3 linked regions of the Drosophila melanogaster genome follow. The protein of the gene in region 3 interacts with the protein of the main gene of each other region in a pairwise test. Each region holds a gene or a part of one and is shown on either strand. Other genes may lie near its edges.

What was found. The genes of interacting proteins can lie anywhere in the genome.
Region 1: the proteins of CG13689 (region 3) and CG13733 interact in a two-hybrid assay, tested with the Drosophila melanogaster proteins (one large-scale study listed by BioGRID).
Region 2: the proteins of CG13689 (region 3) and Moca-cyp interact in a two-hybrid assay, tested with the Drosophila melanogaster proteins (one large-scale study listed by BioGRID).

Annotation. Positions count from the first base shown.
Region 1 is NT_037436.4:17,476,999-17,480,894, forward strand, and holds CG13733 (uncharacterized protein), read right to left. Parts: upstream 1,929-3,896; 5' UTR 1,809-1,928; coding exon 951-1,808; 3' UTR 797-950; downstream 1-796. Other genes in the region: qjt (quijote), read left to right, coding at 2,364-3,065; CG6333 (uncharacterized protein), read right to left, coding at 3,247-3,867.
Region 2 is NT_033777.3:28,338,153-28,345,965, forward strand, and holds Moca-cyp (Moca-cyp), read left to right. Parts: upstream 1-2,181; 5' UTR 2,182-2,282; coding exon 2,283-2,586; exon of another isoform or gene 2,587-2,648; intron 2,649-3,219; coding exon 3,220-3,307; exon of another isoform or gene 3,308-4,032; coding exon 4,033-4,062; intron 4,063-4,127; coding exon 4,128-4,267; intron 4,268-4,326; coding exon 4,327-4,474; intron 4,475-4,530; coding exon 4,531-4,657; intron 4,658-4,727; coding exon 4,728-4,922; intron 4,923-4,982; coding exon 4,983-6,863; 3' UTR 6,864-7,017; downstream 7,018-7,813. Other genes in the region: Gfat2 (Glutamine:fructose-6-phosphate aminotransferase 2), read right to left, coding at 1-1,394.
Region 3 is NT_033779.5:600,760-604,315, reverse strand, and holds CG13689 (uncharacterized protein), read right to left. Parts: upstream 1,504-3,556; 5' UTR 1,446-1,503; coding exon 1,310-1,445; intron 1,243-1,309; coding exon 977-1,242; 3' UTR 754-976; downstream 1-753.

The DNA.
Region 1 (3,896 bases), on a different chromosome or scaffold from region 3:
ACAAACGATTCCAATTGACCGGCGATTGATTGCCCAATGTCTGCACGCACTTCCTGGTGCAGCATTAGAATTCAATAGACGCCCGACTTCAGCTGGCTCCATTCTGCAATCCCGTACTGACTCATTGCCCGGCACTTTCAGAATTTATGCAATACTGCGGTACGTGCTCTTATGCTAAAATATTGCATTAGAACACCCAGCGAACGTGACTTGATTGCAGGGCTAGAAATAGCAGCACTACCTTTAAGCCCTCGGATAAGCCACTGAGACAAGTCTACCTATTCTTCTGATTAGTGTTGCTTATACGAACATGAAGGATCCCATAAATATTCTTAAACATCAACTGATAGTCCTGCAACTGTCTAATCCTTCATATAGCCTGAAAATCTACCTAACTTCACAGCTTACTAATATAAACAAAAAAGTTACATCTTTAGTAGTTTATTATTAGTTTATAATAATCAGAGAACATATGCATTTCTTAGAAATTTCCGTGAATAAATGACCATTATTACAAGCACAACTTACGCATTAAACAATAATAATTGATTGATTAATACATATTCATATGTATTAATTACATCATCGGATCATTCAAACTTTCCCAACAAATGCAGTTAAGCTATTGCTTACCACACAAAATAAATCAAAATAAAGCCATCCATTAAGCCGGATCATTAACCCGATTCCATACTGCTGAATGGATAATCCAGCAGCTTGTCAATGAACTTGTAAATCGGGAGTTCCAGGAACTCCGACGCCCGTCGAAAACGAAGTGCTGACTGAAGTTCCGTTTGGTTAGTTTAATCATTTACTGTTCATAAGAGATCTATATATGTATGTACATAACAATTTTTACAGAGATATTCGGTTACAGAAGAAATTTTGTAAAAAGCTTATCTAAAAACCATAAATTTGAATATCCATCAGATAATGGGTACGAAATCAGATCATCCCTCGACAGTTGACTGTTGCTGGTTACTTAACTTATTTTTCAGCGCAGAGGAGAGGCAGTCCAAGTTATGGGATCGAATTTTTGAAGACCTGGGATTCGCCTCAAAACTTGGTGGCTTATCAGAGCCCGCCGAGCTGGAATCTTCCTTATCGCCTTCGCCAAATTTCCGTTTCTTGCGATGCTTTATTTGATCACTCGGCTTGGGCATTGGTAGCTGTTCGGAAGGGATCGATCTGACATCAGCTTTATCGTCATGGTTGTTGTGAATCTTCTGATGGCGCGTTTTTTTAACTTTCTTCTTCTGGAGACTTGCCATGATACTTATCATTTCCTCCTGCTGGGCTTCGTACCTGGAGATGATGGCGTTCCGGCGCTCCAGCTTGGCGGTGAGGAAACCGACTTGGTTCTTGAGGCTGTCCACTTCCCCAGCCTGCTCGGCAATGGTCTTCATCTCGCGGCGCACCCGCTTCATCTCCTTTTCCACCAGTTCGGCATTCTGCCGGACTTCGGTCATACGTTGCTGGTACTTGTTACGTGTGAGATTGATCTGCTCCTCCAGGAAGGCAATGTACTTCTCCTGCTTAGCCACGTGCTCGTCAAGTTTCTCCAGCTGCTGGCTCAACACTGAACACTGCTCGGCTCCACCGCACTCCCGCTCATTCCGATTCGATTGAGCTGCGGCTAGTTCGCTCTGTAGAAGCTGGATCTCCTGTTCCATACGCGCCTGCAGAACCACCTGCTCCTGCCGATACTTACGATGTTGGTTGTGCTTGGAGCGCAGCGAGGACACCTCGCTCCGCAGGAGAACCACCTCGTTCTCCAATCGGGCTTTGGCTCGATCGTGGTATGGCATCGCGCTGGACGAATGAAATTTTGGTAGTCCAAAACACACGGCTTGTCTATTGGAAAATTGCTTCAAGATTGGGGTGTCTATTGGGATTTTGAAGGCATTCAGTGGGGAATCCGAGATCTGACATTTAAAAACTTAAATAAAACGTTGTTATGCAAGCATGCTCCGGTAATTGAAATTTTTTTTGATTACGCAATTCAATGGCAACCTTCGATATTTGTTCCCCTGTAAATAAGATCTGATTTGATATAAAAAAAAGGCATTTACTTTTTATTTCGACCAGATAAAAGTGCCCGTTTTACAAATCGAAAAATTCGAACGAAACGAAAACCGAAAAATCTGTGCTTTCGATTTAAGATCGATATCGTAAATTACGATAAATTCTCGATGATTCCAGTTTTTAAGCGATTACATTCCACGTGGCATTTGCTTAAAAACCTAATTTCAGGTAAATATCAACGTTATTTATAAATATAAGTCCATTCAAAGACCACTAATTAATAGGCTAGCCTAACTAACCATCAGTCTTGAACATTTGGCTTAAATATTCTGGATAAAATGGAATTCAATTACCTTGCTGATTCCGCACTTTCCACTTTAGTGGAAAACAAAAAGTTCTTCAAGGAAATGTCAGATTTCGTGTCCGATTTCAGCGATGGCGGGAAGATCAAGAAGTTGCTCGAGCAGAGCGTTGAGCAGAGCGTGGAGCACGCCGTGAATGTAGTCCATATGAAGATAAAGCACCAATCGCTCAACAAGGCTATGAATCAGGTCAAAAACTCTAGCGCCACCATCGAGGAGTTCGAGGAAGTCTGGAAGGAACGCTCCAAAGCGGTGGAGCAGAAGCGCATCAATGTCAAGAATCTACACGAGTTCAAGAACTTCGTAAAAGCAGTTGAATCAGCAGCTGGTCAGGCGGGTGCGGAAGTCAATGATCAAGCGAATGGCACCGCCTATGATGAGGACCTTATTATGGAAGACTCCGGCAGCGAGGTCTTCTCGTTCTACGATCCCTGGTCCAAGGCCCTGATAAAGAACCCCATGCGCAACAAAATGTGCGGTCACATCTACGACCGCGACTCGGTGATGCCGATCATAATGGACCGCATTGGCATCCGATGCCCGGTGCTCGGCTGCGCCAACTTGTGCTACATCCAGCCAGATCACCTGGTCCAGGACGCCAATGTCCAGCAAAAGATACAACAGAGCATGTCTAACGCGATCGTGGATGTAACTGCCTCGGAGGAGGACGAGGAATAGAACAGATAATGATTGTGCCCAACTCCGTCCTTGTTGAGAATTAACTTAGTAAAATAAAATAAATTCATTGTTGCCATTATTTTATTTTATAATAACTTGTACTTCTATTAATACACATATATGCTAATTTAAGCTGACCACAAAACCCAGTGAAACCACAATGTACACACAAGAATACGATTCACAACATATTCCTGTACCTACTTGTGTTTTCATTGGACTTCTTGGTCGAATGCGAAATTTTCTTGGAGTGAAGATACTGGATCAGCAATTGGTTGGCCGAAGATTGCGGCTTCACTTGGATGTCGCTCCTTTGCAGCTTCTCCACGGCACCGAGCATGTCCTGGCAGTGGTGGCCAATCCGCTTGGCCCGATCCCTTTCGACACTGGCCAGCACCTTTTGCAGATGCGACTCCAGCATGATGGCATTGTTCTTGATGGTGGACACCTGGCGCTCATAGTGCGCCTTTATTCTTTTCATCTCCCGCTGCTGCTTCTCGATGCGACGGGCCTGCATAAGGATTATGTCCGCCAGGTTTTGGCGATCGGTGTGATGCTGCTCTGCCTTACAATCCTGCTGCACCAGGACACCAAATTCTTCCTCGGAGATCGGACTTCCTATGCGCTTCAGGCTGGAACTCGTATTCCGACCGACAGTTTGTAGAGACTGCAATGGTTTCCTAGATGGCCTGGAGGACATCTTCTGAGTCTTTTGCCGCGTATCTAAAGTTCTTCGGGAATATGGCCTTTCATTCGGCAAACCAGGCAATCCATCGTTGCAAATCCTCACGCCCTTGGTCATTTTAAACAATAATTTAGCCACTCGTGAAT
Region 2 (7,813 bases), on a different chromosome or scaffold from region 3:
TGGACGCCACAGTGCGACTCGCGGCAGATGCTGCTGCCCACCGTGTTGGTAACGCCCACGATGAGCGCTCCTCGCTGCTTGCAGTATCTGAGCGCCATCAGGGTGTCCGCTGTCTCGCCCGATTGGGAGATGAAGAAGCACACGTCGTCCCGGAAAATGGGCGTGTTTCTGTCCAGAAAATCGGAGGCCAGTTCCACCATAACGGGCAGTTCGGTCAGTTCCTCCAGCAGCTGCCTGGTGGCCACCGCACTGTGGTAGGATGTGCCGCACGCAATTAGCATCAAGCGGCGGCAGCGCTTGATCTCCGGTATGTACTCCTTGATGCCACCCAGAACCACGGTCTGCGTATCGAACCTCATCCTGCCGCGCATGGTGTTGACCACGGATTCCGGCTGCTCGAAGATCTCCTTCAGCATAAAGTAGTCGTAGTTGCCCTTCATGATCTGCTGGATCTCCATTTTCAGCGTGATGATCTCGCGGGCGTGCGGATCATCGGATGATTTGTTTAGGCGATGAATGCTGAGCGTGCCATCGCTCTTGACGGCGGCCACGTCGTCATCTTCCAGGTAAATCACCCGATTCGTGTGCTCTATAACAGCCGATGCGTCCGAGGCGAAGAAGTACTCCACTTCCTTGCGCTCCAGCGGTTGAAACTCGGCGTTGCAATCGCCGGGCGGCAATAGTTGATAGGCCTGCTGCTGCGGCTGACCATGTGGCCGATGGGCCTTGGCGTACAGGATGGGTATGTGATCGGTGGCCAGCTTGGTCTTGGCCTTGATGCCCACCAGAAGCGGTGAGCCTCGCCTGGAGGCCACGCACTCGCCCGGGAAGTGCTTCGACTTGAAGGCGATGGCGAAGGCGCCCTCCAGCTGCTGAATGGCCTGCTCCACGAGCTCGCCGAAAGTGTAGCCAGGATGCTGCTGCCACAGGTGGTGTACCAGCTTGGCAATCACCTCCGTGTCCGTGTCGGACTCAAATACATATCCGCGCTTCTCCAGCAGCGTCTTCACATCCTTGTAGTTGGTTATAATGCCATTGTGCACCACCACAAAGCTATTATCCTCATCGGATCGCTGCGGATGCGAGTTGACCTCGGAGGGCACACCGTGGGTGGCCCAGCGCGTGTGTGCTATGCCTATGTGGGTGTCGATGGGCAGCGAGTAGTCCTGGCCGCGACACACCTCCGCCACCGCATCCTCCAGCACCTTCACCTTCCCGGTGCGCTTCACCAGCATTATGGACTGTGCCTCGCCAGAGTTCAGCGCATCGATGGCTATGCCCGTGGAGTCGTAGCCGCGGTACTCCAGCCGCTTCAGTCCCTGCAACAGGAGATCCAGGACCTCCTGTCGCGACTTGGGCGTCAAGTAGTTTAGGTACGCGAATATGCCACACATTCTGAAATGCGATTGCTTTTGCTGAAATTTGCTGGTGATTCGTGGTTTTCCACGTCGCAATGTTAACTTTCCGGTCAGCTGAGGCTGATCTTACACTTCTGAGGCGGCTGCAATGCGATTGTCGTGTTTTTATCGCGACACTGGCTGGAATTTTTTTTGTTTTTCTCTGATAAACCAACCCAATTATTTGCTTTTTCGGCGAAAAGAACACGTCTTCGCCCTGCTCTCCCGCTCGCACGCACACACGCGCCGCTCTTGCGCTCTCGCTCACGCACACAGCTACAGCCACACGCGAGCTGCCATGTAAACATTGGCTTTGTGTGACCGTATTGCAGCCAGGGATGGAACGGTAATTTAATAAATTATTTTTTTACTATGTATTGAATAATATAATAAACTTTTAAAGCTATATACAAAGATGTTAACTGTGTAAATTGTCTGAAAAAGCTTAATATAATATGACCATAAAGGCCAGATCTCATTTCATAGTTGGTTTAAACGACATTCTGTTTTTCCCAAAAATATGAGCATTGAAGATAATATTTTCAACCCATGTTCTAAAGGTTTTGGAAGTTATACCAAAAAGCATAAAATGATTATTGGTTGCTGAGAGTAATCAATGGTGTATTTTGACTATATATAGCTCAAAGTTTACCGTTTATTTGAGCGTACATATGTATGTATTAACAAATTTAAGAAAATATATATATTAAAATTAATATATCGATACCCGAAAATATGCTAAGCATATTGCACATCGATATTTCTAACTGTATGTTTTTGACATCCCTAGTTCTGAGTAGAGCTGGCAACGCCGACATTGTGCAACTCGAAAACGGCGTGAAATACGTATTAAACAGCATTTATTGGCAGAAATCGGCGCATATAATGACGGTAAACAAACGCGACGCGGGTGCCACGCGACCGCGGTGCTTCTTTGACATTTCCCTGGGCGGCCTGGGCATGGGCCGCATTGTCTTCGAGCTCTTCAACGATGTGGCGCCCAAAACGGCCGAAAATTTCCGCGCACTCTGCACGGGCGAAAAGGGATTTGGCCTAATCACCGGCAAGAAGCTGCAGTACAAGGGTGTGATATTCCACCGGGTGGTCAAGGACTTCATGGTCCAGGCGGGCGACTTCTCTGCGGGCAACGGCACCGGCGGCGAGTCCATCTACGGCGGGACGTTCGAGGGTGAGTTCTTCCGGCTTCCGATTCGATGCCTGCATGCATACATACACGCTTGTGTGTGTGTGCTGCTGTTTGTGTGGGAAAAAATCAATACAGTGGTTATCTGATAAGAAGAACAGAAAACGAAAGGGAATATACAGGGTACTTAAAGTGCAATTAATAAAGAGTCAGTAGGGGGAGAAATGTAATAAAAACACTGTAAATACAGACACCCACATTTGGAGATTTAAAAACTTCCAGCCAATTACATCTAAACTGCACTACAATAATCTACTTAAGTTTAATCTTTGTCGAAAAAAATTAAAACGCTTTTGATATGCCAGCCAAAGTGTACAAATGCCCCATTTAAATGTCAAAAATAAATGTTTACTCAAGCGACTCAATTTAAATTTACATTTTGGCAAATATTTCCATTAGAAAGATAAGGGAATGGTGCACATCATACATCTACATATTGCTAATTATACGTTTGGGTGGAAAATGGGACAAATATGCAAATAGAAGCGGCTTTGGGAAATCCAATTACATGCGCATTAAAAAGTTATCTAGAAGATAACTTGAGTTGCTCATCTCTCTTGGGCTTTAAAGTAACATTTAAAGTGAATTTGGTTTAAACAATCCGATTCCTCTTTCCAGATGAGAGCTTCGAAAAGAAGCACGATCGTCCCTTCCTGCTGTCGATGGCCAACCGGGGCAAGAACACAAATGGCTCGCAGTTCTTTATGTAAGTGCTCTCGACGGAGGACCGTAACCGGCTGGTCCGGACTAACGTGGCCGTAAATTTAGTTTCAGTTCTGTTTCAGGCACCGATATTACAGCTAAACTCTCTTCGTCTTCTTTTTGATCTATACTTAAACCACTGTTGTTGTTCATTAATCTATTGCCATTTAGCCTTAGCCCGTGGGCGTTAAAGTGTGAGCTAGCGTCCCACTGACCAGCGGACAGATGCATCGCAATCTGTCCTCCATCGGCCGATGCACCGCCATCCCAGCATCCCTAGTGCATTTGGTCTGTGGGTCCAAAAACCAAGCGAAAGACGATGCAGGTCTTTCAGCTCCATGGTCTTTGGTCCCTGGGCCTGGGTCTCAGTGTGTGTCTCAATCTCTCTCTCTCTCGCTGTCGGCTCCTTGTGGATCTTTGCGGGAATCTTGGGCTGGATCCTCACGATGGATCTGCCAGATGACAATGTGCTGGCCATGGCCAGCGGCAGCGGCTCTTGCGGTTGGTGGCTTGCCAAAATCCTGTGTGCCACCTCTGCCTACACACCTAGAAACCTTTAAACTTTGTTGCACATGACATTGTCTCCGCCACAACCGACAACAATAACAACAACAACAACTGAAACAACAACAACAACACCGATTTCAACTACAACTGCCTACTGCAGCCCAACAACCAGTTAGCCAAAGTGTAAAGAATATTTTTCTCTTCTTCTGTTTCTCATTGTAGTACAACACAGCCTGCGCCACATTTGGACAAGTAAGTTAGCTTTGAACACGTTAAGTAGATCAACAGATTAATAGCGTCATATTTTCTCGTTGCAGTATCCATGTTGTATTCGGCCAAGTTATATCCGGTCAGGAGTTGGTGCGCCAATTGGAGGGCTTGCCTGTCGATCGGAACTCACGCCCGCTGCAGGATGCAGCCATTGCCAACTGCGGTGAACTAGTTAGACAGACAAAGGGTACGACTGTAATCCATTTTCGCATATCCATTATACTTGACATGCTTCTCGTCACATAGCCAAAAAGGAGAAGAAGCACAAGAGGCGCTCCACGGCCACCGAAGATTCAAACAGCGAGGAAAGTGAGGCTGAAGCAAAGGTCGTGCGCAAGGCCAAGAAGAAAAAACGCAGCCGCAAAGATACGAAGTCGCAAAGCGATAGCGAAGAGTATGTGATAGTGGTTGTTATTTTGTAATTTGTTTCATTTCATTTCGTTCGTACAGCAATGAAACAAGTCGCGGGAATGGAAAACATGACCAGACCCCGCAGGATGATGACGAGGACCGCGAGGAAGGCGAACTGCATCCGCTGGTCACAATTACAAAGATAGATCCTAACGAGATACCAGAGGTAACTGAAGTGGATTCTCTGTTCCTGTTCTTGAATATGTACCCTTCATCCTATACTCTTCTGTATTTAGGTATCGAACAAATTCCTAATGCGCGCAGAGCGATCAAAGTCGCTGGATCGTGAGGAGCGTGGAGCACGCGGGCAGGATCGTGATCGAGGCAAAGATCAGGATCGAGACCGCAGCCGTAACAATTTCGGTTGGTCAAAGAAGCAGGCACCGCCTACATCGCGTAGTGGTCGCATTGTCAAAGGACGCGGAGTGTTTGTGAGTATATAAAACTGTTTGTAACTCCGCACACAATTTCTAAAATGACACCATTTACAGCGCTTTCGCACCCCGTCGCGTAGTCGTTCGCGCAGCACTACGCCACCTCACTGGAAGCATGCCCAGAAGCGCACCATCAAGTTGTCCGACTTGGAGCGCATTGAGGAGGAGAGCAAGATGCGCGAGGAGGAGATGAAGCGGCGCGAGCATGAGAGAAAGCGTCGCCACGAGGAGGCCACAAAGAATCCTAAGCAGTCCTTTTTCGAGCTATCCCATGCCAGCACTTACGGTGGCAAAATAACTCCGGATCGATTCTCTCCAGAGCACAAAGCCAAGTCGAAGGACACCGCAGACCGCGGTAAAGCCAAGGAGAGAGAAAAGGCTGGCGAGAAGGATAAGGCTAGGGATGTGACTCCTGTAAAACGCCGCAAGTCGATGGACATGAACGCCTTGGACTACGAGCAGCAGACAGAATCCGAAGTCGAGTCCGAGGACGAGGAGCAGTTGAAGGTGAAACCACCAAGCAAGCAGGATATCAGAGTGGAGCCATCGACCAGCAAGGATCGCAACGCGAAACGCGATGAGCGCAAGCCCACCGAGGAGAAGGCCAAGCCAAAGCGCAGCCGTTCCCGGAGCCCTCGTCGCCAATCTCCTGCTCGTCGTCAGCAACGCTCGCCTGCCCGACGTCCTGGCCAAAACTACAACCAAAACCAGAATCAGAATCAAAATCAGAATCAGAATCAGAATCAGCTTAATCGTGGCAATCGCCGAAATCCCTTCGCGGACAGAGATCGCCGCCGTCGCTCGCGCTCTCAGGATAATGAGTACCGCAATCGTTACCCCCTGTCACCAATCAGAGGAAGAGGCTCGCCCAGTGGAGACCGCCGGCGTCAGCAGCGCTCCCGCAGTCAGAACCGTAGGCAGGATTCACCCAGCCAGAGGCGTCAGTTGTCGCCGGGCCGAAAACGTCAGGATTCGCCGAGTAAGAAGCGTCCCAATTCAACGGAAAGAAAGTGGCGTGACTCGCCTGAAAGAAAGCGAGACGATTCACACGACAGGAAGCGGGAGGCTTCTCCCAACTGGAAGCGTGACGATTCACCTGCAAGGAAGCGCAAGGACTCCGCCAATAGAAAGCGGGAGGATTCCCAAGACAAAAAGATACAGGACAGCAAAAGGCAGGAGGATTCTGCGGGTAAGAAACGAGAGGATAGCCCGAGCAAAAAGCGAAAGGATTCTGATAAGAAGCGTCAGGATTCTCCTGTGAAAAGACAAGAATCGCCAGGCAGAAAGCGTCAGGACTCGCCGGAAAGGAAACGCAGGGACTCGCCTGACAGAAGGCGCAAGGATTCACCGGCCAGACGACGCCAGGAATCTTCTGGCAGAAGGCGCCAGGACTCCGATGGCAGAAGACGCCGTGAATCGTCCGGCAACAGGCGCAGTCGCAGCCGTGGACGTTGGCACAGTTCCTCGCGCAGTCGCAGTCCCTCAACTAGTCGCTCTCGCCGCCGTCGCTCGCGCAGTCCGCTGCCCAAGCTCACCTCCGCGCTGCCCATGAGCGAGGAGCGCGAGAAGGCGGCCCGCGAGAAGATGCAGAAGCGTGCGGAGGCCGCCATGCTGATGAAGGAGCACATGCGCAACGAGATCGCCAAGGAGGAGGAACGCCGCATGGAGAAGCAGCGCCAGGACGACTTGGATAAGGAGCGCACCACCCGCGAGCTCAACGAACTGGAGCGCCTGAAGGCCGAGACGCTCAGGAAGCTGCATGAAGAGGATTCCGTGGACCCGGATGCGGCTGCATCCGCCGGAAGTGCGTCCAAAACCGATGCCACCAGCACCGGCGCCAAGAGCAAACGCGATTCCAGCTCAGAGAATCGGCATCGCGAAAAGAAGCGCAAGCATAAGAAGTCCAAAAAGTCCTCGGGTCGATCCGATAACGATTAAAAAACTAATCCTAGACTTTAGTTGATATACCCCAAACGGTGGCCGACCTGGTCAAGTTCCACCAGTTTCAGGTGGAACTTTCAAATTGCAATTGTAAAAATCGCGACCCCCAATTTTGTAGCCAAGTCTGTTTAATAAAGGTAAACGTCACTGTACTTATCCACTGTCCATTTATTTTTTAACTTTTTTTCTGAATTTGCAAAGATAATGCAATATTTTAAGCAAAATAACATGTGTGAATGAGCACATTATTTCAAGATCTGAAAAATATTACATATTTTTTTATTGATCTCAATTTTTGTACTGGTAAATATAATTTATATTATATTATATAATTTATATTTATTTTAAATTTTTCAAAAAGACTTGAAAAAAAATGAATCCCAATAGCCGTGTTCCACACCTAGCCAAGACTCGAGCCAATGTGGTGAGTTTGGACAATCTCTTAGTGCTGCCCATACAAAATGTGCTGCTGTTATTTGCTTGGTTGCATTGTTTTAGAAATGTTGAGTCGCTAGGTGGCGGCACTTCTAAAAGGACTTAAAGGACATTAATGTTTTTCGATTTTATTATTTGCGAGGCACTGTTTCACGCTAATTGATTGACTATTTTCTCTTTAATAATATTTTACAACCTTCGCTATGCTTATTTAACATTTGTTTATTGAATACTTTTCTACAGTATGTTTATTTTTATTTATTTAAAATTGTTTATTTAAAATTTCTTTTGTACCATTTGCAATCCGAGGGCTTTCCAAGATAATCCGACCACTTCGCACATCCGAAAAGTTGCAAAGCAAAGTGTAATTGTTAAACAAATTAAACGTGCAACAGCATATTTTTTATTTTCGAGCAGATTGGTCGGAATTGCCGTTTCTTAGTTGTTTGAACTCCCTAATTGCCAAGTGAACTTGCATAAACACTCGTATATCCTCTGACCAAATTGCCCTG
Region 3 (3,556 bases):
TAAATGGACTGGGAGAAACTCATATTTTGAAGTAATGAGAATTAAATGTGAGCATAAAGGACTATCGAGCAATGCGATTTCTTACAGTGCACTTGCAGTTGCTGTTGGCTTACTGCTATTGCTGCCGGTTGCAGGTGGCCGCCATTTGGGCCATGATTTATGCAGTGGCCGGGCATTAGAAAGGTCGTTCGCAGTTGTCGTCGCCAGTCGTGATTTCAGTGGAGAATGAGGAGCAGGTGGGAAACGAGCTCCGTGGGGCGGAGGAGCTTGGTCAGGAGAGAGAGGATGGGGGATATAAGTAAGCCAAGAAAATCCATTGCCACTCAGAGTCGGACGTCTTAATTAGGTTTTCTGCTGAAAAGTGCCGAAAAATGTTGGCTAATGCCCAACTTGCCACGCCCACACGAGCAGCAGACATTGTCTCTGACCCACAAATGGTCCTCCATCCTACCAAAAGCCCCTCTCCCTTTTTAGTCATGCCCCAATTTGAAGCTTTCTTCTGGTTCTCCCAGCGCGATTATAAATGACATCGCATTAGTCTTGGTCGGGTTAATGTGCGTTTCCTTTGGCCAAAAAACTGCCAACTTCGCACAACTTCATTAGTGGAGAACCATGTGAGAAAAGCAGAATATCAGACACTTGTCTCCCGCTTGAAGAGTTCCGGGAATTAAAGTACAGTTGCTTTTTCGTCCTACGCAGGTCTTGATTCTAGCCCTTTGAGGCATTCAGTTAGAATGGCTAAGTATGAACATTAAGTTATCAAAACATCTTATATACTTAATACGTTCAAGACAAAGTGCTACATATAAAAATATCCCCTATAAAAGGTACATTTTCTGCTTACCAAAACTAAATACCAAACCTATAAACTTGAGCTTAAATTATAACATTTTACGTAAGATACATTTTTAAGTCATTACCAGATAAAAATGAACTGTAAGTTTTCATCTGCGTAAAAACCTATTTTACCAAAATTCTAATCTAAAGAGTCGGTGGTTTGGGCAGTTCTTCGATCCCTGAGTTCCTGCTGATGCTTAATGGTCACCTCGAGGAACTTCAGATAGCCCTCGTCAATGGGTTCGATCTCCTCATCCTCGGAAGAACTCTCGTACACGTAGTCCAGGCAGTGAAACGTTCCTGTTTCCTTGGGAATATCCTCAAGGTCCTGATCCAGATTCGGATTAACCTCAGGGCAGAGACTCATAACATGATTGTGGTGCCATTCAAAAAGGCTTTGGTATACTACAATAACAGGGAATTTTAAATGGTTAACACTATTAAAAAACTTATTAATGACTATTATTGTTACTTTGAGCCACATTGCTCCACTGATCTCGAGATGTATGTGGCTTCGGCTTTCCCTCACTTTTCTGCCTTCGTCTGCGCTGCTTGCTCCTATTCCTGTTTCTTTTCCTTGCCATTTCCTCCGATTTCCAATCCTCCATTGGCTTTTATTAGGAAAATACAAACATTCGTCGCCTTTTGTTTACTTCTCAGCATAAGCAATAACAAGATTGCAGTGTTGCCAAATTATCCAAAATGTGGCCAGAAACTGAAATCTAGCGACCGCTTCACAGAATTATATATTTTGGTTCATATGAAGCGCTTTAATAATGATTCATTATAATTTTGATTTGGCAATTGGTTGTTTTCTTTGTAAATAATTTTAAATAATATCTTTTTAAAAGCAGTTTAAGATTGTGATGTGAATAATCGTCTATCGGACTGTAACAGCTGTTAATTCCAGTGTGTGTACAGATTGTAAACAACGCGAACTCCAGATGGCGTCTTATTACTGTTACCGGAAATTAAGTACAGGGGCTTTCAGGGAACAACAGATGGCGCCACCATGTTACTTTTAGATATAATAATTATTGTTTCTAACTTAGAATCTCATAGATACATATTAAAAAAAATTGTCTTAAAAATCAATACAATATATTACAAAATTTATATAATTAATAATTATGAAATTATGCCGCAAATTAATGAAATGAAATTTTATTCATTTTTGAAGAATTACTTATTCCAACAAAATCTCTTCATTTCTTAAATGATAAAACCCTTATATTTCCCTGCCCTCGCGGCCAACCCCTTGAAGGCCTTTTCCGGTCAACCGACTGACTTCAAAACTCTGGTTCAGACCTTCCCGGCAAAGGGCAAGCGCAAAGTTAAAGCCAGAGCAGAAGCCAAGCCGGATCGGACCGAAATCCAGATCCAAGCCAATCCCAGCCAGAAACATAGCCAAACCAGGGCTAAGGCTAAAGCCTGAGGAAAAGGCAGAGGAGTTTTGTTTTTCTAGCAAATTCAAATCCCGCGCTTATAAATCTCGGTCGATCGGTCGGTCGCTCGAAGTAGCGAAGAAGAAGTTCGGGAACCAAAACTAAAACTGGGATTAGGGCGGATCAATTTGGCTGTAGTGCGAATGCAAATTGGCCAGCGGTACGATTTAAATGAGGCGGCCAAACAAAGAGCACATTGATATGGAGTGCATCCTGCTGAGCCGGAACAAAAAGTCCGGGTATGGATGCACTTCCACTTTACCTGCCTCGTCCGGTTCATAAAGGAAAATTAGGTTTACACCTTCCCGGCCAATATGTTCATAAAACAATTTAGAGATTTACAAGGGGATCAACTTGAATGTGGTGCACAGTACATTCCATCCAACATATCCTGTGCCCCTCGTTCTTTTTTCCGTTCTCTTAAGTGGGTGTGGGTGTGTTTGTATTGCGGTTTTAGTGTAGCGAAAAAGGCGCGTGGTTATGGTTATGGATACGGATACAGATATGGATATCATGGCCATCATCCCGCCCATCATCCCTCACTTTTCCCGAGCAATTCACACATGTTTACTTTGGCAACTAGCGGGGGGAACGAAAGCTCTTCATTTCCGATGAAGTAATATGCGTTCTGATAATATGAAAAACATCCTGCGGCCAGGATTTGCACGCACTTATTCCCTTTTAATGGACTTGGCCAGCGATTTTTTGCCCGCATTTATTTTGCATATTTTTTGCGCGCATCGAAGCCAAAAAAAGATTTTAATTCGAGTGGTTCCTACGTGTGCTGGTGCCAGTAAACTAGTTCGGAAATTCGAATTTACATTGAAATAATTTCAGATTTGGAGAGCATAAACTTATAGACGACGTTGGTCAGGATGGCGGATCATGCTCAAATAGAATATAATATATAGTATATATAGTTGAAAACAGCAATGAAATAAGCTTCTAAACTATAGAATGGTGTAATTTTTACGGTACCATGACTTTTGTTTAATTTTTACATATTATTTTTTATAATTCTTCCATTCGGAACCAGTTCCATTTCGGCTACTCGATTCGAATTCCAAGGAGAATCCTCGCCGCGGGGAACTGGGCGATTGCTACTTACTTGAGCTACATTAGGGACAATTTGCATTTGCACGGCTCGCAAATAGATATGTGGCCGCAGGACAACAAGACAATCAGGACTATCGGAACAATCGGAAGATGGGAGGATGCCGCCACAGGTATCTGTATCTCGGCCACTACTGTGCAGCGTGGGATTATAATTCTTG